Schizosaccharomyces pombe: one gene and its partners. Changing the gene in region 4 together with the main gene of any one other region gives a genetic interaction. Each region holds a gene or a part of one and is shown on either strand. Other genes may lie near its edges.

Region 1 (5,607 bases), on a different chromosome or scaffold from region 4:
TCAACAAAGACCTTTAAATGTTGTCCTATGGGGAGACCAAGAACATCGTTAGCGCGAGGCAGACGGAAACGATAAATGGCAGTGTTGTGGTTCAATACAGCTTTATCACTAAGTTCAAATTGTTGAATTTTATCACTCAATACTTTACGAACGCGTCCACGCCAGAACTTATGAAAACCAAGAGAGAATGCCACAACAATAGCGTAACCCACCCATTCGCGTTTCACAATGTAAGTACCAAAGATGATCAAAAACACTGGAATATAGACTCCATGCAACGGGGTACTAAGAAGAGTTTGTTTGGCCATTTCAATTAGGATTGTGAGCCAAAATAACTAAAGAAAAAGTAGAGAAGCCTGAAAGCAGAAGAAATGCGAAACGTTTCCAGAAGACTCAAATTACAAAATCTTCAAGAAACTAAAATAATTTAAAGAATAAGAAACCTTTCAATAGTTTCAAAAAATTTAAAAGAAATCTCTAGTTTTCACGATTCCTGCAGTATTGCTAACAGTAGAAGTTTGGTCAAGGGCAAGTCTATAAAACTAATCAGATTTCTCGAATGATTTTTTAAGGTCATGAACAACTAAGCATGGAATACTGACGAAAGAGAACATAAATCATCACATAATCCATTTCATTGTAAATTATATAGATTGAGGGCTTTCGCTTCAAAATCTGCTAAAATTATTTATTTTGAAAAACCAGCTTGTCGAACCATACTTGTTCGCAAGCATATGCTTGTTTATCACGCCGATTCATAATTTAAGAAATGAATTAAATTTTAATAACTAAATTTTGTAAATTCGTTAATAAATAGTCTTTCAGCAATGATCTACTACCGGAATACATGAGATATATCCATCTATTTATATATAATTCGGTATACAGTTTGGAAGTGAAACACCGTCTCTGAGGAACAAGCATTAAAAGACAGGTAATTGTTTCCAAGTAAGAAGAAGCAATTTAAAAACCCTAGATCCATCAACTTGCATTACTTAACATCACATTTTTTAGTAAAGGACCAGTGTAGGCACTAAAAGGAAGAACCCCAATAGCATCCAATGTTTCCTCAGGTTTTCAAAATTTTTGTTAGCGAAAGATACAGGAGCAGTATAAAGCCCTGCATTGGGGTCTCCTGTTGATGATCCTCCATTCGAAGCCTTAAAGACTTGAAGCGATTTTAAAAGTAAGGGAGCTTGAATAGCTTCCAATGCAGACATTTGCTCTCCAAGGCCATAAAGTCCTATTATAAAGTTAGAACCAATACTGTTTTTTTTTAACAGTCAAACATACCATCCCAAGTATCGTTATTCCACCACCATTGAACACCACAAGTCACTCCATCATAACCGCCGCAACATGCCCCGGCTGCAGCTTTGGCGGTGGATATCAACAATGGTTCTAATAACGGTGCAGTGAATGGAGCCATTTGTGCCGTGTAGACCATAAATCTGGTCAAAAAGCCTTTGAAAGACGTTTGATCATAGTTACATGAAAGAGCTATTTCACATACTGGTTCGAACATAATATCCTTGAAAAAAAAGGTTTTGGCAGTTTTGTTGGCAAAACCTTCAACTCGAGTTTTCCATACCGTAGAGTTCGTCTGGTGAAACTGTTAGTTACAATCATTTTGCATTTTACAGTAAAGTTATAATGTATATATCCTTTAAACGTACATAGTTATACATGTAAGCTGCTCCTGCCATGTATAATCCTATATTGTAAGTCCACTGAGTAATTTCGATAGATGAGCAATTATCTTTTATAGAACTCCCATCAAATACAGTGTAATCTTCTTGAATAAACCCAATCCTTTGGCTCCAATCGTATGCTACATTAGCCCACTCAGCATAAGTATCGTTATCGGTGAATCGAGCCAGTCGAGCTGCAAGCTGAAAAAATGCTCCATTTGAGACAGTGTTCTTATAGTTGTACCCAGAGTTAAATTCAGTAATCTGCCATCGAAGACCACCGTTGCAATGATCCGTGTCCCATCGTGTGACCTGTTGGTTGAATACAGCTTGAGCCAGTTCCAACCATTGTGGTTCATCGGCTGCTGGATTTGAAAAGTTTGCTTCAGCGGCAGATATAACGGTCAGACCCCAAAATGCCTGATCGTCATTTCCCTCAGATGTTGTATAATTCGAAGGCATATAATCTGAATCCTCTCCAGATTGGTACAACATGCTGGTCTTTACCAACTCGTTATATGTACTATTACCAGTGGCAATGTATCTATTTAAAAGTCCCTAAAGCCATTGTTGTTAATAAATTATACTTTTAAGCTCAACGTACATTCCAAGCAGCCCCGGCTTCCCACCAGTAGGCTGGAGGAAGGAACATCCCGATAGTTCCTCCTTTGTGCTGACCAGCATAATAATTCAATAATCCATCAGCTACTAAAGAAGTGGCTAAGTCAACGGAGGACGTGTCATTCAAATCCACCGAAATGGCTTCAGCGAAGGAAAACAAAATAGTTGCAAGTGAAATAAAGATTGTAAGACTCATTGAAAAAGAAGGATTAAATAGAGTAGTATCTTTGAAGATTCCCATATGTATCCAGATGACTGTCGCCCTTCATATGATTCAATGATGACTCATTAATGACTGATAGAAATAATCTAAACAGTAAACAACGAACGACCAAAGGTAGGGAAAAAATATAACTTAACGCAATCTATCTTCTATAAAATTCTTAAGCCTTTCAATGAAAATACTCTCACATTTATTCGTGAGACCGACAGCCCCATGCATATCACAATGAGCAAGAAGGAAAACCTTAGAAAAAATACATCAAAAAGGTATTATTTAAATTGTGTCTTTTTGTTTTAACCGCAATTTTAACTGTTTGAATATAACAGTTTGTACATGGTATCCCAGTACTTTCTAGCGGTGGACTTATTTCCTCGTTCGTTTAGAGTATGTTCTTGCCTTTTCTTTTTTACCTTCCTTTCCCTCAATTTTCGGTTTTTTTAAACTGGATATTGTCTCCTTAACTGAGCGTAAAGTTTCATCGTGAAGTTCGAACTTTTCATATAGAGAGAGACAAAAGGACTTCAACTACAAATAAAATTAGTAATTTATTCTTCTTAAAGTTTATTTTTCTCTACTATATAAAGAATCACTGTACATGCCTTTATAATGTCCTCTCTCATTTCTAAATCAACTTGATACCGTGTAAGGCCTTCAGGATTTACGGTCTTATTACCTAGTTGGTAGCTTCACTGGGGTTAGTAACTAAGATGAAATCATGAACTTACGCTTGTAATTTGTCCATTGAAAAAGTATACATATCTCTACATGATTTTGTTAAAATTTGGTCAACCAAGTACGACTAGACATACCTAATATCATCAAGATATATAGGTGTAGAATTATACACCTTCCCAATCACTTCATTGCATCTAGTACAACTCAACTCTGAATAGACGCTATAATTTTTGTATTAGTAAACTGGCGAGCAACACATGCAACATACCAAAGACCATCATCACTCCTTTTAAACGTATCCTCAACGCGTACACTATTTTCTACTGCATCTAAATGAAATAATTAATTACATGGACATTTCTTTTACCACATACCACTCAAAGTGAAACTAAGATATTCTCGATGAGAAATAACCCAAGCATTAGAATCACCAACTATTTGAAAACATTTTTTACATTGGAAGACGCTAGGTTGTGACTCTTTTTTAAAATCAATATAGCCCGAATGACTAGTTTCCGTCTGGGACATACTTATGGAAAGTTCATTTTATCTAGTAGTAGTCGTTATTAATTAGGTGCGCTTAACATTCTATATATGGTGAACCAATATATATCAGATGTAGAAGCAAAAATTAAATATATTACAAAATTATAAAAAAATAAATTACTCATAGTCCTTTAACTGTTTTCGGAAGAAGGAATAAAGACGCCTTCCTGCTTCGGGGCCAATTAGTTCTGACCATTTTCTTTCTGAGGTTTCGGAAGCTTCTTGAATATCTTTCACGCCTCCATAAAACACATTTCTGTAGTTTTTCATAGTTATGTATGGGAGTCCCATTAGCAGGTCGAGTGGAGCTTGATTATAAGTATTCGTTGAGTCTTGCCCAGCTTCCAAACCTATAGAGGCAGCTGAAGCAGGATCTGGTTCTTGTTCCATGGCTTTCAAATCTTGAAAAATAATTGATGTAACGTAGGCACTAGAAGACCAAACAATCCTTAAGTTGGGAAACGATAATGTTAACAGTACCAGTTTAGATTGAACATCATTTTTTCCAATTTCGCTTGAAAGGTCGGAGAAAGGCTAAAAGCTGTCAGACATAGATTGTTTTAGTCAGACTTACTGGAGATGTAAAAGATTGGTGTTGTTCGAATTCAATTAACAAAACTGGAATTTCATAATATTCAGTCATAGCTTCACATTGGGAATAAAGACGGCCATTGCTTAATGATTGGATCAAATCTCTAATTGACTTCCTTTCAACACAGATCTTTGGTGATAATATATAATCTCCCACTAAGAGTTGGCAAGGGATAACAGAAAAATTATTTCCATGTAATATGGAAGGTAACGAACTACGGAATTCCCTCAAGTCAACGATAACCTTTAACGTTTTAATACATATAAACATAAGATATAATGAACGTACCCTAGGTTTCTCATTTGTGATCGATAACTGTCCTCCTCCAGCTATACGAGTATTGACATTTCTTAAAAACTTTGACTCTTGGCTTTCGAACCTTTCGGAATCAGCCGTCAGTACGATAGCCATATTCTTTTTAGATTAGCAAGTTTTGAAAAGTTTAGAATAACTTACAGATCGTTCTTTAATAAGACGAGAGAATGAATCTTTCTCTCTCCTTACAGAAAAAAGATATTTTTGCTCCTCAATCGATCCTCCATAGTACATAAAATAAACCCTTAGAGATCTTTTGGGATATGTAGCTTTGTAAACCTCGACTCTTCGAATAAAATTGGGATCAGAATCGAACATAATAACGTACCGAGGTCTTAAATTATTTAATACTAACTCATCTCTTTCACCATTGTAGGAATAGATATAGATGGAATTGAAATCATCAATAACTTCAAATGCATCATTGCCCACTTCAGGTTCATAACGTTTGGATAAGTGTGAGAGCAGACTAGACTTATTAGCGTGTAAAACCTAATAATTAGCGTACATTTTCTCTAGGCGTAAATCCCTACTAAAAGAATCATTCGCATCTGTATTATCAGAAGTTGTGCGTGAAGTGGCATTGTTTCCACCTCTTACCCTTCTTCTCTTTGAAGGTGGAACACCTTTTCTAGACGTTGTATTAGAAGCCTCTCGCTCCTTGGAAGGCTCTGGTTTCTTGATTGATTTACTCATCTTTCTATATTGTTCTCTCCATTGAAAATAGTCCACTAATTTGCTATTCATATTTTTCAAAGAGTCTTTATTGTCGTAAGTCACCGTACTCAAATAATCACGTAACTGTAAACAAGTACGCTCATCTGCGCACATAATCATTATCGAATTATTGGATGTTTCTGAAAGATTTGTTAATATTTCTTCCTTTAAAGAGAGTTTTTTTTATACCTGCATCTGTATCTGCTAACATTGTTTCATGACACACT
Region 2 (6,572 bases), on a different chromosome or scaffold from region 4:
AACAACTCATATAAATGGACAAGCTCAAAGAAAAAGGGTTTGTTAAACTAGAAATTTATTTGGAAAATAAAAAGAGGTTGCATAGTATATTTTTGAAAGAAGACACGGAAGATGTTGAAAAGAAGTCACTGTATTTGATTAATGTTCCTATCACAACTACTGAAAAGATTTTGAAAAGAGCAATTTCTCAATTGGGCGGTCGTATCGTTAATATCTATCCTAATATTAGTGGCCTTTTGAAAAGTGGCACCCATTTACGCGTCAAATTAGTCGAGCCCGCTGAAGTTAAACAAGTTATCAAGGCAGCTTCTAAAAAGACGACCTCGCTTCCTTGGAAGTTCACACAGCATACTGGTTTGAAACGTAAGAACATGGTCATTATTTTTTTGGAAATACTAATGTGTTTAATAGGTTATGTAGAAAGTTATGATAGACAGTTTGTCAATCCACGTGTTCTAGCCGAAAGTGTTGATTCATACATGAAACGTGTTACTAAAAAGGAAATAGCAGAAAAGAGGAGACTATTCGCTATGAAAAATCAACCTGATGAAGATGGATTCGTAACGGTCGTTCGCAGCGGCCGGGCACCTGTCGGGCGACCTCAGGATGCTGAGCGTCAATTGGAAAAGAAAAAAGACACTGGGATCCACAAAGATTTTTACCGTTTCCAGCTTCGGGAAAAGAAAAAGAAGGCTCTTTTGGATTTAGCTCATAAGTTTGAGTTCGATAAACAGCGTATCCAACAATTAAAAGAAAAGCGGCAATTCAAACCGTATTAATATTATAGGTTTTAATCTTTTTGGGAGCATCACAAGGATTTGTTTTAGTTTGTATATTTTAGGGATAATGGTAATATACAAAGGCTATGATTTACTAATACAAAGAATAAAGTATACTTACCACAAACGTATATAAATATATTAGTATGAAAATGGAATAGTCGTTTACTTAAAAATGAAATGTAACTGCATGGTGAGAGCATTAAAGCAAGACTAACTTGCTACTTCAAGTTTTTTGAGACTTTCTAAATCGTAATCAATGCCACTAAAAGCCTCATATAAGCATCGCAAATGACAATCTTCTATACGGAAACCGCATTTGCGGCCTGGTTCATGCGAAACTTTTTCCAAATATCTAATCGAGTTGTTAGTATGATATTTATGGGTGATGCTACAAAATTGACACTTACAAATCTTGATAGGTGTTTTTGGAGTATGAAAAATACTTGCTCCCATCTTTTTCTCCAGCAAGAGGACTAAAAGGCGTAGTATCCTCTGCTACTTGCTGAACATCAGATAGAAGAATTGAAGATGAACGTGAAATGTTTGAAACCGAAGAGGCAATGTTTTCTTGTTGCTTTTTAAGGGAATCAGATAGTTGGATAATTTTGTTAGGATCTTTTCCTGATGTAGCTAAATCAAAAATAATTTGTTGCTCAACCTGTTCACGTCTTTCCTTTTCTTTTTGATGCTCACGTATAGCCGCTTCTCTTGCTTCTTGCTTTTGGCGTTTGAGAAGAATCTCGTTTTGAGCCAAAATGCGTGCTTCTGCGGCGGCTCTTGCAGAATTTGCTGCTATAGAATCTCGATTTTGTTTTTCATATTGTTTAACTTTTTCCTCAGTTTCTTCAACGTCGATTTTATAAATCAAATTAAATGCTAAAAAAAATTGTTAATAAAATTCTGACGCTGTCAATAACATACTTAAAATTTCAACTTCTTCCAAGTAGTCATTGTAAGCCTGCAAGCTGTCAAATTCTTGCTGTCCTTTGTTAAAGCTAAAAACGCACGTTAGAGTAAATTAAAAAAAAAGCTACAGTGTTCGTACATTCGAGATATCCGCTTCCGAACATCGACTTCGCGCTCAATTTGAGCATCTTCAAATGTTTGCTCTCGAAATTTGGCTTTTCTGAGAATTTTGTTGCACCCAGGAGTAGGGCATTGAGCAGGTCCAGTTGTAAATATTCTCTATGAATTAGCAAATCATGCTTCATTTCTTATTTGTATTAACAAATGCAATCAAACATACGTCTACACAAGACTCACACATCTTGTGATAGCACTCAGGGTTTATAAGTAATTTCATATTTGGATTTAAATATCTGTCCGCCTGGCACAACGGACATTTTTCATCTATATGTCTCGGTCAGCTTTAAAATAAATCAGGTAATTAATTAATGCTTACCAACTTTCCTAGCACCTTCATCGTCCATCTTTCTTTTATAGTTTACTTTTATTAATTCGTATTATGCAGTGAACGGGAATGACAAACGATAAATTCAAAGTTTCAATCGAATTTATGTTGAATAGTAAACGTTACTTTTCGGATTGTATAAAGAAATAATATTTGGACAAAAAAAGCGCGCAATACGTGGTGTTAAACTTTTAGAAGTAGTCGCCTTCAATATTACAAACACGACGACCATCAACTCATTCCCTAGCTACCAGCTATCTAAAGTCTTTTGAGTCCAAAAATACGAAAATTTAGATTAATGTAATAATAATTATTGAACCAACATAAATATTAACTAAATTTGGTTCCGTTTGTCGTATAACTTGGTAATTTCTATGTATACGGGCATGCAATCAGAAAACTTAATGGACATTTACTAAATTTGATCAGTTTGTTAAAAAATAAAATTATCTATTTTATTCTCACATAGGAGTTTGGAAAATTTTCAATAGTTACGAACTTGAATTTGAATGTTTTATATATATGTCGAACATTTAACTATTAAACTACATAGGTGTAATTTGTTTGCTTTATGAATACGTAGTTTAAAATATATGGTGTTAAAATTATTATTTGGGCTGTACAAAGAATAGCTAAAATCAATTCATGACTAGAAAGAAAGGCTGGATGAATTCGTCAACTACCAAAACCCCATGTTTGACTATACGCGTAGAAAAGCAAAAATTTTGCATGAAATATTATGGAAAATAACTCCCATAACGTAGATGAGCGACGAGCAGCACGAATGCGTGGAGCTGAGTATGTTATTTCAAAACTTTGTAAAAATTAACCAATGTAGACGCTACAAAATTCAAAATGTTGAGTTTTCATTAGATCAAAACCTTCTGGCCAATTTAGAGTCATCTACTTCTAGTTCAACTCGTTCTTCGCCTGCTTCAAACCAACAAAACCTTGAAATTGTATCTCAATCAGAGGCATATCATAAAATTAGCGATTTGGATGACAGTACATCTATTTTTTCTATTTCCGATCAAGAAAATATACTTGAAAGAAGGATTTCTGAAGAAGTAGTTCGGGAAAATTCCGTTTCCAGCATCGAAAATGTATCTTCATCGGCTGTCGCACGTGAGACGCAGAGTAGCGCAAATATTTTAGTCAAAGACAATCATTTTTTTTCTCATAAGCAGAAAAAAATACAAAGGGAATCCATTCCGTTTCACAAACGTGATAATATAGAAACCTCTGATGCATATAGTTCTTCAATCCTAGAAAATTCACCACCTAACAAAGTACAAAGGCTGTCATCTCTCGACTCATCTCAAGATTCGTTCCAAGAGGAACATCCAGGCAATGTGACAGGAACAACATTTAGTTCTCAGGCCCCTGAAGAGCGAATTGCTTCTCCTATCTCCACTTCTTCTCCGGAATCTTTGACGAATCAAAGTAGTAGTCTGCAAAGTTCCTTACAGACATCATCAATGGCTCCTAGAAATCTTTTGGATCAATCAACAGAAAAGGATATTGTAGTGGGAGCCTCAGATGAGCTCGTGCGTATCGAGTTAACCAAACTTTCTAAAGAAGCAGGAGGGTCAAAGACTCTTAATGAGCTTGATGCCGTACAGCAATTTTTTCAAGAATTTATAAAAGAGAATGAGCCACTAGAACCCTATGTAGTCAAGGTAAAAAATGCGTTTGTGGAACAAGTTTCTATTCGTTTACTAGAGTTAATAGACTTGCTGGACGCTAATCGAATTTTATCAACAGCTTGTAAAAAAGCAGCAAATGAGAAACTAGCTGTTCAACGGGATCTCTCGAAATTGAGGGAAGATCGACTATCAGTGCAACGTAAAAAAATACAGTTACGAAATGAGTACATTAAATTGTCCCATCAACAAAACGTACGCATAACATTGGCTCTTTAATTTACGCTTAACTAACTTAATATAGTTTTTGGATGATATTGACGATTTCTTCTCACAATGCGAAACAGTGAAAAACGAATTAGAAAATGTAACCACAACTCCAAACTCTACCGAAGCTTTTTCAGAAATAAATGAATATGCGTCTGCTTTATCAAAAAATTATGGACTCGAATCGCAGCTAGTTGAATTACAGTCTTTACTAACCCAATTTTATCAAAAATTCCTTTCCTAAAAGTTGCCATATCGCAACTTCTCCGCTGTCTTTCTATCACCTTTTTGTATAATTTTTCATTTCGGTGCGTCTGTTTGGGAAATCGGCTGGATTTCTACTGTTTCTTAAAGTTTTGCTTTTCTTGTGTTCTAAACTACCCTTTATCTTTTGCTAATGTGAAAGCTTTGATTGGGTTTTTGTATATAAAATTTTTTGAAATATGAGTATATGAATATATGAATGTATAATAAATGGCATGTCATTATTACCCCAATTTTCTATTTCGACAGCATTTCCGTTTTAAATTGTATGCTGCATAATTTTCTAGTAGAAATTCGACTTTTTCGTCACTAACTTGAACTGCTTACACTTACAATTGAGCATGTATTTTTTTAACAAGTTAGGAAAATAAAAAAAACAAAAAAATGCAAAGGAATTTGCTTCTAAATGGATATCTTTGTATATCGCGTTTGTTTTCAATTTAGATGAGTATTAAGTGCAATATTAGTTAACTTGTAACTTCGTTTAGCACAACTCTATTTTCATAGAATATGAAGTCATATTCACTACACTCTGAATCACGCCGAAGATACCCAGCCCAAAAATGGGTCAAAAGGAGTCCCAATTTAAAGTTCTTTGGCAGTTACAGACTCATGAAGAATATATGAAACAAACTTCTTCTTTCTTACGAGACTTTAATGCTTTAGAACGGTATAATTTAAAAGGTTTGTCAATTTTCGTAATTTTGTTTAACAAAGCTAATGATTTAATAAAAAGAGAATTTCGAGGCTTTATCAAGCTTTGATAATGGTGAAAAAATTTGGGTTGAGGATGCCTTGTATGTTCGCTTTTAAAGGTATTGTTGAAATTGTTCATTCTAACAAAGGTGCTTTAGCACGACGTTCTTTGGAATTCCAGACGTTATCCAACTTTCACCATTTTTTTATCGCTCCGCTTGTAGTTTTGGAAGGGATCTTAATATCAATAGGCAACGTCTTACATTTTCTGCTCTCGCGAGATTTCTTGCTTCTTACACTGGTCGCCACAAAGATGTTTGGAGTGATTTTGAGAGCAATTTGATGATCATAGCAAGTTGGTGTGACTCTTTTCCAAAATTTAGAGTAGAAGTTTTAAAAAATTCTAAACAAATTTCGCGGTTAATACATAGTGATGTTCAGAACATAAGCAATTTTTTTGATCAAAACTTCGGTATACGGAGGTCAAATATTTATCAGCTATGTTTGCTGTTACTTTGCATTTCTAAACTTAAGCCTGGTGAATCGGTTGGTTGTCATATTAATTCGTTTTTGGACTCTATGTTTGTGAAAGAACAAAAAGCTGCCTTTTATGTGCTACAAGGTATAAGTCCGGATATATCTAGTAATATTATAAAACCGAGTTATTTACTTCATTTTCTTGAGTCAAATCCATATTTCCTTAAATCTCTAGGATCTTTATTTGAGTTGGCACTATTTCCGCATTCAGCTCACAATCAAAAAGTGCAAGATGATGTGTCACCGTTAAACGACTTTGCAATTCTGAGCCCACTTATCCATGCTCAAATCTGTTTTTTTTTACCCAAATCTGTATGGCAGGTCAATGGCTTGACAAGTCTGTTTAGAGCAAGCTTTCATGGTTACTCAATGTACGCACTAGAGAGAAAAATGTGTAATTATCACAATCCTTCGATTCTCTTAATTAAAGCAAAGAAAATCAATGCCAATCACAAATCCTCTTCTAGACCAATATCATTAGATGCTACAATTCCGAGAAAATATCCACCACACTGCATTGGGACTGATAAAGCTGTGCCTCAAAAATTTGGTGCAGATTTTCACAATGAAAATATCTTACTTGGTGCTTATATATCCACTCGTTGGAGACAATCGCATATGGGATTTTTTGGAGACCATTCAACATTATTATTTCAACTTCAGCCTATACATCAAGTTTATTACGCTTCCAATCTTGATAAAAATTACTGTATGTTCGACAAAAATGTTGGCCTGGGTTTTGGCCTCAGCCGTCATAAAGTGACTAACAAAGTGCAATATGATGTACCCGGAGTATGCATGTATATTGATGATGGTCTAGAGTATGGATTATTTAGACATGCTGGTGATGGAGCATTCAAGCCTGCGACAAATTACGAAAACTTTGAATATGAAGAAAGATTTTTAATTCAAGACTTAGAGGTCATAGGAGTTGATACTACAAAACCGGTAGAGCCAATCCACATCGGATTA
Region 3 (6,674 bases), 2.3 Mb from region 4:
CAAAGTAAAGTTTATAAAATTATTATAACAATAAATTTGACAACTTTTTTTATCCTGTTTATGTAAAACAACAAGAAAAGTAAATATGAAAAATTATAATAGCAAGTCTCAAGATTGTAAAAGACTTCAAGTGCTTTCTTTTCCTGTTTTAAATATAATTGGTATGAAAAGTCAGCAATAACTCGTCCAAAGAAATATTAATGGATCGTTATATTCAGACGATGCAGACTGCAACCAGTTTCATAAAATAAAATAAAAAATTAAAAATAATACTTTAGCAAGTTTTCAAACTGCTTAAGTGAGTTCTGTAAACAGAGGCTTGTAGGCAAAACCCTTCTTTATATAAAATCGTTATCTGGTCAACCTGTCCTTATCTCGTCTCTATATCGTTGCTTTTTCATCACCCTCGGTCCTTATCTGCATAGAGCGAATTGAAGGTGCGAGATATCCAATCATCACACGGTGGTGATGGTGCATATATGATAAGGTGCAGTAGGGGGGCCTAGTGCAGCCGAACTCGCTGTAAGGATTGGCAAGGGTAAGGAGGATACAATGAAGGAGGACTGTAAAGGGAAGAGCTTTCAGTCGTAAATTTACAGAAAAAATCTAGTTAGGAGAGAAGGAATTCGCCTTTGAATATGATACTTCGAATGGGAAAGATGAATGGCATAAATATGGCGGAATTTTCATCCTAATACAGCCTCGTTACTTCTCTTTAAACCCATTTAATGAATCGCTGAATATTGCCTAATACTAAGCTTGTGATCGGGCGGTTTCACTGTAAGGTGATTGGAACGTGGCATGGACTATGATAGTGAAACCCTGGCCTATCGTAAGTGGGGGGAGTGGGGGACTCCCCGATGCATTGATAAGTGTGACCCAAAAAAACAAGCGCTAATTCAATGCGCTAAAATACGATAAAGGTGCATAGTGACACGCGTTAGATCATGGTATATGAGTAGCAATATTGTAGCAGAGGAATAATAGGGTTGGTAGTAAACGAGTATATACAGTGTTTATAAACCGAAAGTCGAATAGTAGGAAAAATAGCAGTGATGAGAGTCGAAAGACGAACATCAATAATTTTTGTTTCTGTTTGACTTTTGATCGTTGTTTATGGACTTTTCCGTTTTTCAGTCAGCAGTGGTAATTTGTGTTTACACTCGTATGCCTTGTATGCCCAGAACTAAAGCTCATCTAAGCAATCCCTACTATAGAAGAGAAAAATAAATAAATAAAATAAATAATAATAAAAAAAAAATCTACCTTACTTCATTCAAATTTATTTCATTGGGTTTTATTTTCTTTTTAGTAATCACTTTAACTCACCGCTATTTTGGAAATTGTAGATTTTTTATTGAATATCGCCGATTTTTAGTGTTTTACAAACTGTAAGCCCAATGTCGCTTGAACCCAGTTTTACAGTCTGGATGAATTGATTTTCTTTGTATTACAAAGACTTTTCTATTAAATTTTCATTTTCTCAATTGTATCAAAGACATGACAGCAAAAATCAACTCGACACTATGAAATATACTATATAACAATTGCCTGTTTTATAGATGCCAAACTGATTTTATAAAAAAGAATGTAAAAGAAAATAAATGAACTAAAAAAAATTTAGTTTTCTACAAAAAAGCAAAAAGCCTACAGCACCCCGGATTCCCATGTTGTCTCCAACCATAGTACTAACGAGGCCCTCAGACGCTTAACTGCAGTGATCGGACGGGAACTGGTGTTTTCGCCTAGGTATGGCCGTAGACATTTGCTTCATTAATTTAAACTATATATACTGTAATTAAAGAATGTAATTTATCATGTTTGTTCTAGCTCATTGTAAACAAATACCACTTAAAAGTTCACATTATATTATTTAACATTGAATAATACATTCTCCCTTTGCATTCATTTAACACAAACTTGGCTTTTGTCAAATCAAAACCCCATGTACATTCAACGATCCTTAAAACTGCTACAATGTATAGCACTTGCGCGCTCATAATCTAATATTAAATATACAATTTTGTTGCTTTCTTAATGCAATATGAATGTTTTAAGGGATTGTACGTGAAGAGCTTTAATAAAAGAATTGTTAATAGGGATGCACTAATTGGTGAGTTATAAAATGTAATGATTTTAAAATCATTTATATAAGAAGGAAAACTACCTTCATTTTTTTTCTTTACTAATTTATTTTTCTTTTTTTTTAATGTCATTTTGTTAAATGTCATTATTTTTTCTTCAAAATAATTCTCATTTCCTGGATTATGTCAATTTAATTCTATATATTTTATAAGTTAAATTTCTTTGTTCTTGTAAATAACCATTCTGTTTTCTTTCCTAGATTTTAATTTTAATTTTTTTTTTTAAACTGGCGATTTAATTATCTTCAATTTTATATAGTTATATACAACTTGTCCGACTTTGCTTTCTATACATTTCTTTGTTATTGTAACTCATTAAGAAAATATTTAATTTACATATTATCAAACAGTTAAAAATATTGCATAATTTTTCGTTTCGTTGCAAATAGATTTGCAATCTTCATTTTTTCCTATCCATTACATCTTCAAACCTACCAATCTCTAATTTTGATCTAATTACAAATCTCGTCTAAAATACTATTCCAGTTCGAAACTCTGAAATGCTACAGTGATTAAATTATAAAAGCTGCTGTGTATTTCGACGCTTTGACATACGTGGACGAGTCTAAGCGTAACTGAATTTCTATGCTTGGTTCATGTTATCAATAAGGCCCTAAGAAACTGTTGAAACTACAGTTTTTTTAGTTCCATGAATTTTTTTTGCTGCCATGGACGATGAAGAAGGCAATGCGACACTCATCGATGAAATTTCCGTCCTTGAAGCCAGAAGGGATGTATTGCTTGATGAATTAAAGTCTTTAGATAATGCGACACTGTCCGATCTCGTTCAGAAGCCCGAGTTGTCCAAAAATTTATCTGTAAACAATGAATTTCTGAAAGAGACTCCGTTAAATCAACCTGCACTGCATTATGATCGACTTTCTGGTATTTCCTTTTTCCAACCCAATGATCCTGAGGAGTTATCTAGAAAGACCCTTCTCGTAAAAAATAAAAAGACAGGAGCCATTGAGACTGCTCCTTCTATACCGCTTCTTGGTGTCCGGTTCGATATCATGTTGAATCCAGTAAATATAGGCTTTACGAATCTCTCAGAGAATCCAATATCTTCCGCCTCTGGCATGGACGAAGAACTAGAAGGTGGAAATAGATTTGATGTTCCCTATTATATAATTTTTCGAGTATTTCACGACTCGTTTGCTTTATATAAATATACGATTCCAAGCTTTCTGAACATACAAGAATGGGCTGACGAGTATTTGACTGGAAAGAACCCTGAAAGGTTTAGAATATTTTTGTGGAAAGTAGATAAATTATTGACCGCATATATCTGTCGTAAAAACGCACTTTTACAAATCAATAAGTCTTTGACAATTGATGGGACAAACATATCTGCCAATCTTTCTTGTACACATCTTGTCATTCAAATTCCGAAAGTCATTCAAGCTACCCTTGTTTGCTCTTCAGAATCCACTAGAGTGGTCAAATCAAGGATATATCAGTATTCTGATGAAAACTGGAAAAGAGATCACAGACTTGAACTATCTTTATTAGACAACAAACGTTGGGTTAATATACTTGTATCACACCTAACTGCTCCAGAAAGTCATGCTTCGTTATGATTGTTTATTACCATACTCTTATTATTATTAGACAGGGACTATCTTTTTATACAAAAAACTTTATACTTGTTAGTTATTTACGATTGCACCAAATAATCGTCCATATTCCTTAATTTCCGCCTTGGTTTCATCCTTTTCTCTACCTGTCTCTCCAGTTGCTCTTTCAGTCTAGCCATTCGATTTCCATTTTCAGTAAAATACTCAACGCTTCTCTTGAAAAGGAAGCACATGTATTCACGAGTAATGTAAAACTGAAGCTTTTCGGATGCTGTAAGACATCCTATAGGAATATCCATTCGTAAACTTGTTCTAATAGCCACAATAAACTTCTGCTCACTACCTTGAATTCCTGTTTCCCGAAAACCGCAGCTTGCTGCTACTCTTTGCAAATGCTGAGCATTCGCTAAACTTCTCGTTTGAACATGCAGAATCATGGGTTCAAAAGCGTATTGTATTTCCCGATTTCCTTCTACCGGAGAACTGGGAACCTTTCCGTATTCCACTTTTTCATCTTCTAAAACCGGTGGTAGTTCTTCATGTGCCTGATGACTAACGAAAAGCCAGTATCCACCTCCTTTTCTGGAATTTGCTCCTTGTACATAGACTGAAATTCTTCCTGAACATGAACTAGTTGTTACCCAATCCGGGTGGGAGTTTATAACATCTAGCAATGGAAATATTGGGCTATCTGGGTGTCCTTTGGGTGATGCATCAGGTACGGAGGATTTCAAGCCTTCTAAGATTTCTTTTTTTTGAGCATCAAATGATACATCTATTCCTTTTATATTCATTCAAATTGTTCTTCAAGGAACTCCTTGCAACGACTTAATTCAACTCGTTGGTGGATTCTTACAACTTTTCAACTTGCGTTGTCAACTTGCCAAATCAAGCACCTACATTTTTTTTTCTAAATTCAAAACAATATTTGCAGATTCGTTTGCTCAAACCTAATAAATAAAAGAAATCAAATAGAAAAAATCATTTTTATGGTATTTTCGTACGCGCTTGAGTAATTTATCAATCCATGCAACAAACAAGTTCCACTGTATAATATTAACTTCCTAATTAAGGCTGCTACAAAAACCGTCCCCCACTTTATCTAATTTTATGAAATGAAGCGTTCAACTGGAGGAACGCAACCAAAGGGACTAAACGTCAAAAGGTCAAAGCTCGCTGATGCTAGATTCATAGAGGTTGAATCACCTGCCCTTTCAAATGGTGCTGTAGACTTAAAAAAATTCATTGAATCAAGGAGTTTTGAAATAACGGCTTTACAAGATGCTATGAAAAGATCAAAAGAATCCAGCGCTCAGCGTGCTTTCCAAGCTCTTCCTCGATGTTTACGAAGAAGAGCAGCTTCTCATAATATAAAAAGGATACCTAAAGGTTTAAGGGATAGAGCTTTATATGAAATGCAACTCAGTTCCTCATCTACTTTGCCCATTGCACCTTCCAGACAACGGTTAAAGAGATTCATCAAACGCTTGCGAAGAAAGTTAGCTAAATCAGGTGAAACCAAAGCAATTGACAGTACGGGAAGCTTGGTTACAGACAATTCTACAGATGATTCGCGAATTCCGTCCTTGGCTGCCGTCAAGTTAATACGTGGAAAATTTGCTGGTCGTCAACTTCGGAAGGTATGGCTTCCCACTCATTTATGGGTATGCAAACGCGCACACATGATAAATGCTTGGGGATATGCCATTCCCGAAAAACCGACTGAGAAATCCTATCGTCCTACCCATCGAGCAGCTTTTCGGAAAGATGCAATTGCATTCGACATGTCTTATGAACCATTGTTTTGCATTAGCGGGCCATACGAAGCTCTCAAAGAAAAGTTTGGAAATTCTTTTGCAAACGGACTGCCTCCTGTATTTCTGAATTCTTCTAGATCATTTACATCTTACCTCGTGAAGTCTGACATACACGAGCTCATATGCCCTTGTTTTCTACAATGGAATAACCCTACAGAAGATGACAAAAAACAGATCCCTGTAAAAAATCCTACCGAATGTGTGCAGTTAGTTATACGTTTACATCCATCTGCATTTCTACAAGCATGGAATTACTTATCTGGTATAGCTGTTTTGGATGATCGCATTGCTATGCACGATTGGCGACTAGATCTAGCATCTTTTGATATTCACGGACCCGATAGCAACATTATGCTCCACAAAGTATTTGACGACGTTGAATTAGATGAAGCAGGAAAAGTTTGGCAGTCGATTTCCAATTATTCAAGCGCATGCTTACCCATGGGCGCCTCGATATCTGTGAAAGCATTAGTTAATACTCGTTGCGATAAAAATTTATCCGAAAAGGGAGAAAAAAGCTTATTAGATTCTGCTGAAAACAGTTTACCAGCATCTGCAAACCAATATAGCACTCATTTTAGGTATTGGGAGAGACAGGAAATACCCTCTTTTGCAGTTTTTGAGAATAAAAATAGACATACTCATGAGAAAAAATCTTCTGAAAAAGAAGTTATACCCGTGTATATTACGTATAGAAAAGAATGGAACGGACTCACTGTTATTTTGCCTTGGGATTATGCCAAGTTTGTATGGAGGAAGATGATGTATCAAAAAGGAATACGTTTTGGCGGATTAGAAAATTTGCACCAAATTGCGTTTGAAAAAAGAATGCCTTTCTTTCCGATTGATTATCCAGATACGATTAGTGGGCAACTTTGCGAAGAGGAAAGAAAAAAACGAAATGAAGATAGCTGGAAAAGACGTCCACCTGCCAAACGCGTAAATTATCAAAAATTCGGAGATAATTTTTCAGAAATAGGTAACCCGTTTTGTTGTGATTGGGTTTATCTAAACGAGATGGTTAAGGCTTCACGAGATGAAGATAAAACTCTGCAGCTAGTACGTGTTCAAGTACAGTTGGTGCAAAGAGGTAGCCTGCAAGATCGGGCTCGAATTTATTGTCTTAGTGACGATGA
Region 4 (5,856 bases):
GTGAGAGTCGTAACATAAGTGAGGGTTTCAACCTGAGAACCGTGAGTGGTTGTTTGAACAAATGAAGTAGTAACTATTTGATGATCACCTGATTTTATTGAACCAGAATTTGTTAAAATAGAACTGGTTGGAGAACTCACCGATGGCGAAATAACTGATGATGAGATTGGTGAGGCTGAAGTCAATTGATCAGTAGACGAAGAGCTAGTAGAGCGTACGGTGGAGAAGGATTGGGTTAGTAGTGAAAGGAGGGAACTAGGAAAGCTACTTTCACCAATAGTAACCAAAGATGAACTTGAAGAAGGCAAATTTGTAGTTTCAGAGCTGGAAGTTACAGAGTTGATTAACGTGTAGGTGATAACACTAGAATCACTTGTAGCGGTTACAGTAGTAAACACACTATCAGTAAGAGTGGAAGATGTTTCCACTAAATAGCTGGACGAGCTTGAAGCTGGAGAAGACAAAGTGGAGGGTGTTGCGGGGATATCAGTAGAAAAGGAAACAGTAGCTTCTGAAGTACTAACAGGAAGTGTACTCGAAGCAGTAGTTGAAGCTGCAATGTCTACGGATGAAGAAGTATATGCCGATTCGGTAGAAGTGATACTTACAGAAGTAAGTGTTTCCGAACTGCTAACAGCAGGGGAATTAACAGATGTAGTCAAAATCACTGTATTTGTGGATGAAGATGAGTCACTGGGTTCACTGGAAACATAACTAACAGAACTAGCTACTTTCGATGAAACGCTAGCTGATGGAGAAAATACGGGTGTTGATGAAGGGCTCATGGATAATGTGGAAATTTGAGAGCTAACAGCCGTACCAGTAGGTGAGTTGATAACAGATGAACTAGTACTAGAAGAAATGTCTACTGTAGAAGTGAAAGCTTGACCACAAGACAACGTAACATATTCTGTAACAGTTTGAACTCTGTCAACGTATTCCGTAACGGTGGAAGTAGGATTGGAAGAAGCTGCATTATTAGAATTGCCAACAGAGTCAATTAAGTCTTGAATGGAGGAGTTGGAAGACCCGATAACACCAATTATAGTAATGTACTTGGCATCTAAGGTACTTAGAATCTCAGAAGCAGAGGTTGAGTTATAGATATTGCCAACTTCGAGAGGGCTTGATTGGCAAGATTCTAAATTAGAAGATGAAATTAAACCTACTGACCGACTGACGTTAAAAGTGTCATCAAGTGCAGATGGGGATGCCCAGGAAAATCCTAGCAAAACGAGAATAAAGAAAGCCAAAGCAATCGACATGACGAATTATGGGAAGATCAAGCGATAAAAGAAAAATTATAATTAATAATGTTTTTCAAAGAAGAAGAAAAGAAAGTATTAAAAAGAAGCAAGACTCAAATCAAAAGATAGATAAAAAATTGAGAAATGCGATGCAATGCAATGAGAAGTTATTTCAAAATTCTACTAGTCTGAAAAAAACTAAAAAATGAAAAAGCAAAAGAGTGTCAAAAGGTAATGAGGAATAAGTAGACGAGCGAATGGCAAAATCAGAGAGGTTTCAAAAAAATCGAGTTAAGTGATCAAAATTCCTTGCTGAACCTATTTGTCAATTGCAATACTAGTACTAAAACAAAGTCTTCGTCGTTCCCTTCTTTTTTTTCTGATTGCAGTTTCTTATTCAGCTTGCTTTACGAAACCTTCAAATGTAATGACAAATATGGAGCTCTATGCGGTTTTTTATACTTAGGATCCATGGTGAAGGAATACAAAGAAATTCGAGTATTTGAACTATACAATGCTCAAACAATGGTGTAGTGTTTTAAAGAAAGTGCAATTATGGAGTAGTTGAAAGAGTTGCGCTGTACTCAACTTCCTTTGTTTCATCGGCATGCTGTGCTATTCAGGTAACGGGTACGTTTATTGTTGGAGGGGAATGAGTAATTCCTATTGTCATATTCCATATGGTGTAGTAATTCTTTTCATGTGAATGCTTCGGTAAAGAAATTGTTCAAAACAAGCATACCGTAAGAAACTGAAACATGAAACGACTCGGTTTTGCTTCAAGTTATAGAAGACTGTGTTCATGAGACTAAGTCACAAAGAGCCAAAAATAGTTTATTTTACAATACGTTCCCTATCGTGTCCAAATTGTTCTGTCGTTTTGTTTAACATTTCTATTGTTCTCGCTATTGTCTGTTTCACTTGGCACTTAGTAAGAATGCAAACAATGCCGAGATCAATTCATCCTTTGTTCTAATTATTTAGCGATGATTTCTCCAATTCTATGTTGTAATGGAATTGATAATAGTTACTAGTTGGTACAATAGACACTTTCTAAAAGAATTCTATTGAGGAGCTGCGCTACGTATCCTCATATTTACATGAATGAACAATCAAAATATGGCTAAACTTGTCGAACAGAACGCTTTCAACTAATACGAATTATTTGTGAAAGAAAGCCAAAGAATCGTCACGCTTCTTTGGGGCGATGTGACAAATGGAATGCTCAACTTATGGGATTTTTTTATTAAATTGTGCAAATGATGCAAAGTAATATTCACCAAAACGAGTATCCTTATTTTCTTTATTTTAGGTATCGTTGATTTCTCATTTTATCATTAAAAAAGTAATGTGGAATTGCTATGTTCGTTGGAATCCACAAGGTATCGCAGCGTTCGTTATTATTACAAAATTGTATGTCTATTAATTTTATGTATTTTAGAAATTCTTAAACAGTATAGAATTAGTGCAAGAACAGATAAATCAGTCTTTTGGAGCAATGAGTTAATTTACAAGCGTTAAGCGACCATCATTGAAATTACACTTTTGCATAAACTATTCAAAAGAACTTTTCATTATCTTTTTTTTTTGATCTCTAAGTTCTAACAGAAATTAAATCTAAAAGTCATTCGTGAATTAGTTACGAAACTCTAATACAAGTCTACAGTTATGGCACCGTTCACTAATAAACCACTACTGAAATCGCTTTCCTACTAATAACTGAAAATCTCCAATTTTTGCCTTAAGAAATTTATTGGAAAGGATTTTTTGAACAAAATTTCTCAATACCAAATGATTTTAACTTTCAATCATGTGCAATCGTCAACCGAAAGCCGTTGACCTGCCTCCAAACTATTCTTGTCCACATCTGTTGTCTTTTCAGTCTGTCGAATTTAATACTAATCCTACGGCTTGTGATGATGTGTTTTGTAAAAGAATTGAGTCCGAAAAGAAGTACAACGACTTTTTGGAATCTCTTTTCAAAAAATATGGACGCGACACTTCTGATATAGCTGATGAAGTAGATCTTGCAACTGGTGAAATTATTGTTAATAATGGACATCTAGAAGCTTTAAAAACAAAAGATGATATATGGGATCCTACATTTAACAACCTTGAAATCTCAGCGTCAAATGGATACGAAAAAAAATTAGACTCAAGCATTGGCAACCCAGGGGAAAAAGCTGTTTCACCAGTCCATATAGAGGATTTTCAGTCTCCCCAGATCTATAAATTTAAAAATCTATCACTTCGTGATGAAATGGTGTCAGATTGTGTGTTTGCAGATGAAGTTCCTTTAGCTTCACTTTTTGTGGAAAATGTTTGTAATGAAACTATACCCTCTCAGTCATGCGTGAGACTAAAAATCAATGATAAAACAAGAAAAGTTGATGCTTCAGCTTTGGAAAAAAAATCTTGTCTGTTGCCAAACTCATCAGGAACATTAACAGATCAGCGTGGTTTGGATACAATCAAGCATAAAAGCATAGAACAAAATGAGATTTTGCACGTCATCTCTGATACTTTATCTTCACCGAGAAGAAGGAACCCTTTATTATCATCTCCTAAAACTCCTTTACGTAGATCTTTTTCTAAGTCAAAAGTCCGAAACTCCAATTCTACAAAACGAAGAAACTTTATTTCATTAATTTCAATGATATCCCCTCGACCTAATCTTTCTACCCATCATTTTAATCTTGGTTTTCAACCTTTAAGTCAACAAACTTCGTTCTCAGGAAGTAGCACTCAGAACCCTCATTCTTCCAGCACTTGTAAAAAAGCATTTTGTTTCCAATGCATTTCTGAGTCAAAAAAATGTTGATTCAGCTTTAAACCACTTATTCTCCCATCTTCTTCGCTTGCCATACCATGGCTTTTAATGACCTATTTCTTCGAACATATATTTATTTTTTGTTTTCATTTACAACAAATTGTCTTTCGAGTTATCATGTTACATTCGAATATATATTTTTTTACTAATATATTAATCATTCGTTGAGTTTTTACGTGATCTATGCTTTTGTAGTATGGCAAATGAGTACACATAATTGTTCTCCACTCTTCATGTTATAAGTAAAAATCGTAGTCATAAAGATATCTAGCCGAAATATCCATTCAGTGTGTTGAACAAAGATTATCTTTAAATATCGCTTAATGAGTACAATATTTCAATTTATAACACATGTACCTGTTTAAATGACTACTTACACCACTACAAATTTCTGTCATTGTGAATCATTATGGAGTCGAGTGTAAAATGTATGTTAAATGCCGCATTACTAAAGCTTTATCTATAAACTAACAATTAAAGATGCGCAGGAGTTCGTCCAACGGTATTACTCATCTCTTGATACGAACAGAAATGGGATCGCAGAATTTTACAGAGAAAATAGTTTGATCTTATGGAATGGAAAACCCATGCAAGTAACCGAATTTACCTCTATGATAGTTAATCTTCCATACTCCAAAACTAAAGTTGAGGATTTCGATAGTCAACAGGTCATGGGTAATGATATGAATATCATAATTGTTGTTTCAGGAACAATACGTTTCGATGGAAAAAAACCTCATGTATTTTCGTATGTCAGTTTTTATTGTATTTACCTTCTTGTACTAAGATCCTCTACTAACTTCCTTTAAGAGACAATATAGTTCTACAACAGGAAGAATCAAAGTATTATATTGCCAGTCAAAATTTTAGAATTATGAGTGAATAATACGTATCCAAAACAAAGATTTCATTTCGTTTAGAGTTTGTATTAATTTGCCGCAGCAAGCTTATCTGAGCGACACATTCCCTAATCCCTCATACTTCTTTAGAACACAAAATTAACCACCACCTTACAAATATGAAATATTGGAAGTATTTGTCTCAGCTGACTATCAGAAGGCCTCTTACATACAACAATGCTCTTCTGTATAGGAATAGGTTTCCTAGTATATTAACATGGAAGAGAAGTGCGACTACGCAACCTGACGACACTATTTTCAAGGATCCAGTAATGGATGAGCAAGTCCAGAAACTTGAAGAGAAAATGAGTTCATTAGTTGTTAATGATCCGGAACTTGCTCAAAAGGTTGGCCGTCTTCGTCAGTTTTTTGAGAAATACGGCCTTGAAGCTGGTTCAAAACCGTCACCTCTTACTATCCTAAAGATTACTCGTGATCCGGAATTCAAGCAGTTAGCTGAAACTATCACGGAGATATTTAAAAAATCTGGAATTCAAAATGATCCTGCGTATGTTTTTTTGAATGTATTCCATTGATTGTGCGAACACTAACATATCTATAGATTTTTGGAACTTGTTCGAAGAAACCTTAAGAAAGAAAAGTAAAAATATGCCTCTGACATTTTTTTTATTCTTTGTTTGGCCTAATAACCATTACTTGTTCACTATTATGTGAAACTTACAATTGGAGGAATGACTAATGTTATTGATTTCATAAACGATTCACTATACATCACAACTACTTTCTTAATTAGTAGGAATTTTAAACAAGATGCTTTATCAAAATATCAGTAAACCCAATTAGCATTCAAAGCATAGATTTAAGGATTGCTCCTTTGGGACATCCATGTCCATAAAGCGGCATGCGGTACGTCAACCTC

Evidence for each region.
Region 1: mutations in scm3 (region 4) and mis18 impair growth when combined (synthetic growth defect), as found in Schizosaccharomyces pombe (one study listed by BioGRID).
Region 2: of scm3 (region 4) and mis17, extra expression of one impairs growth in a mutant of the other (dosage growth defect), as found in Schizosaccharomyces pombe (one study listed by BioGRID).
Region 3: mutations in scm3 (region 4) and mal2 impair growth when combined (synthetic growth defect), as found in Schizosaccharomyces pombe (one study listed by BioGRID).

The regions. Positions count from the first base shown.
Region 1 is NC_003421.2:511,033-516,639, forward strand, and holds mis18 (kinetochore protein Mis18), read right to left. Parts: upstream 3,776-5,607; 5' UTR 3,739-3,775; coding exon 3,585-3,738; exon of another isoform or gene 3,540-3,584; coding exon 3,479-3,539; exon of another isoform or gene 3,432-3,478; coding exon 3,345-3,431; exon of another isoform or gene 3,297-3,344; coding exon 3,261-3,296; exon of another isoform or gene 3,220-3,260; coding exon 3,135-3,219; exon of another isoform or gene 3,079-3,134; intron 3,061-3,078; coding exon 2,899-3,060; downstream 1-2,898. Other genes in the region: cbr1 (cytochrome b5 reductase), read right to left, coding at 1-308; dcw1 (mannan endo-1,6-alpha-mannosidase), read right to left, coding at 1,011-1,243, 1,294-1,603, 1,677-2,249, 2,296-2,508; rad16 (DNA repair endonuclease XPF), read right to left, coding at 3,874-4,290, 4,331-4,591, 4,637-4,762, 4,805-5,132, 5,172-5,520, 5,570-5,607. UniProt on the Schizosaccharomyces pombe protein: Component of the CENP-A recruiting complex that ensures the integrity of mitotic spindles through maintenance of kinetochore factors mis6/CENP-I and cnp1/CENP-A. Maintains the deacetylated state of histones specifically in the central core of the centromeres.
Region 2 is NC_003423.3:3,211,339-3,217,910, forward strand, and holds mis17 (kinetochore protein Mis17 ), read left to right. Parts: upstream 1-2,867; 5' UTR 2,868-2,932; coding exon 2,933-2,991; intron 2,992-3,031; coding exon 3,032-4,091; intron 4,092-4,140; coding exon 4,141-4,347; 3' UTR 4,348-4,600; downstream 4,601-6,572. Other genes in the region: rRNA processing protein Rrp7, read left to right, coding at 15-363, 412-779; transcription factor TFIIK complex ubiquitin-protein ligase E3 subunit, Pmh1, read right to left, coding at 993-1,134, 1,190-1,658, 1,704-1,777, 1,828-1,967, 2,029-2,132, 2,185-2,212; rtc5 (V-type ATPase inhibitor and disassembly protein linked to MTOR), read left to right, coding at 4,931-5,051, 5,104-5,164, 5,222-6,572. UniProt on the Schizosaccharomyces pombe protein: Component of the kinetochore, a multiprotein complex that assembles on centromeric DNA and attaches chromosomes to spindle microtubules, mediating chromosome segregation and sister chromatid segregation during meiosis and mitosis.
Region 3 is NC_003424.3:4,182,711-4,189,384, forward strand, and holds mal2 (kinetochore protein mal2), read left to right. Parts: upstream 1-2,571; 5' UTR 2,572-2,812; coding exon 2,813-3,724; 3' UTR 3,725-3,801; coding exon of another isoform or gene 3,802-4,515; 3' UTR 4,516-4,706; downstream 4,707-6,674. Other genes in the region: wybutosine biosynthesis protein Tyw3, read right to left, coding at 3,802-4,515; pop100 (Rnase P/MRP subunit), read left to right, coding at 4,837-6,674. UniProt on the Schizosaccharomyces pombe protein: Component of the kinetochore, a multiprotein complex that assembles on centromeric DNA and attaches chromosomes to spindle microtubules, mediating chromosome segregation and sister chromatid segregation during meiosis and mitosis.
Region 4 is NC_003424.3:1,858,877-1,864,732, forward strand, and holds scm3 (CENP-A histone chaperone Scm3), read left to right. Parts: upstream 1-2,930; 5' UTR 2,931-3,057; coding exon 3,058-4,068; 3' UTR 4,069-4,256; downstream 4,257-5,856. Other genes in the region: cell surface adhesion protein for conjugation Mam3, read right to left, coding at 1-1,265; mRNA export receptor Nxt1, read left to right, coding at 4,487-4,505, 4,558-4,886; protein dpc13, read left to right, coding at 5,096-5,484, 5,539-5,581; geranylgeranyltransferase type 1 alpha subunit Cwp1, read right to left, coding at 5,797-5,856. UniProt on the Schizosaccharomyces pombe protein: Centromeric protein that plays a central role in the incorporation and maintenance of histone H3-like variant CENPA at centromeres.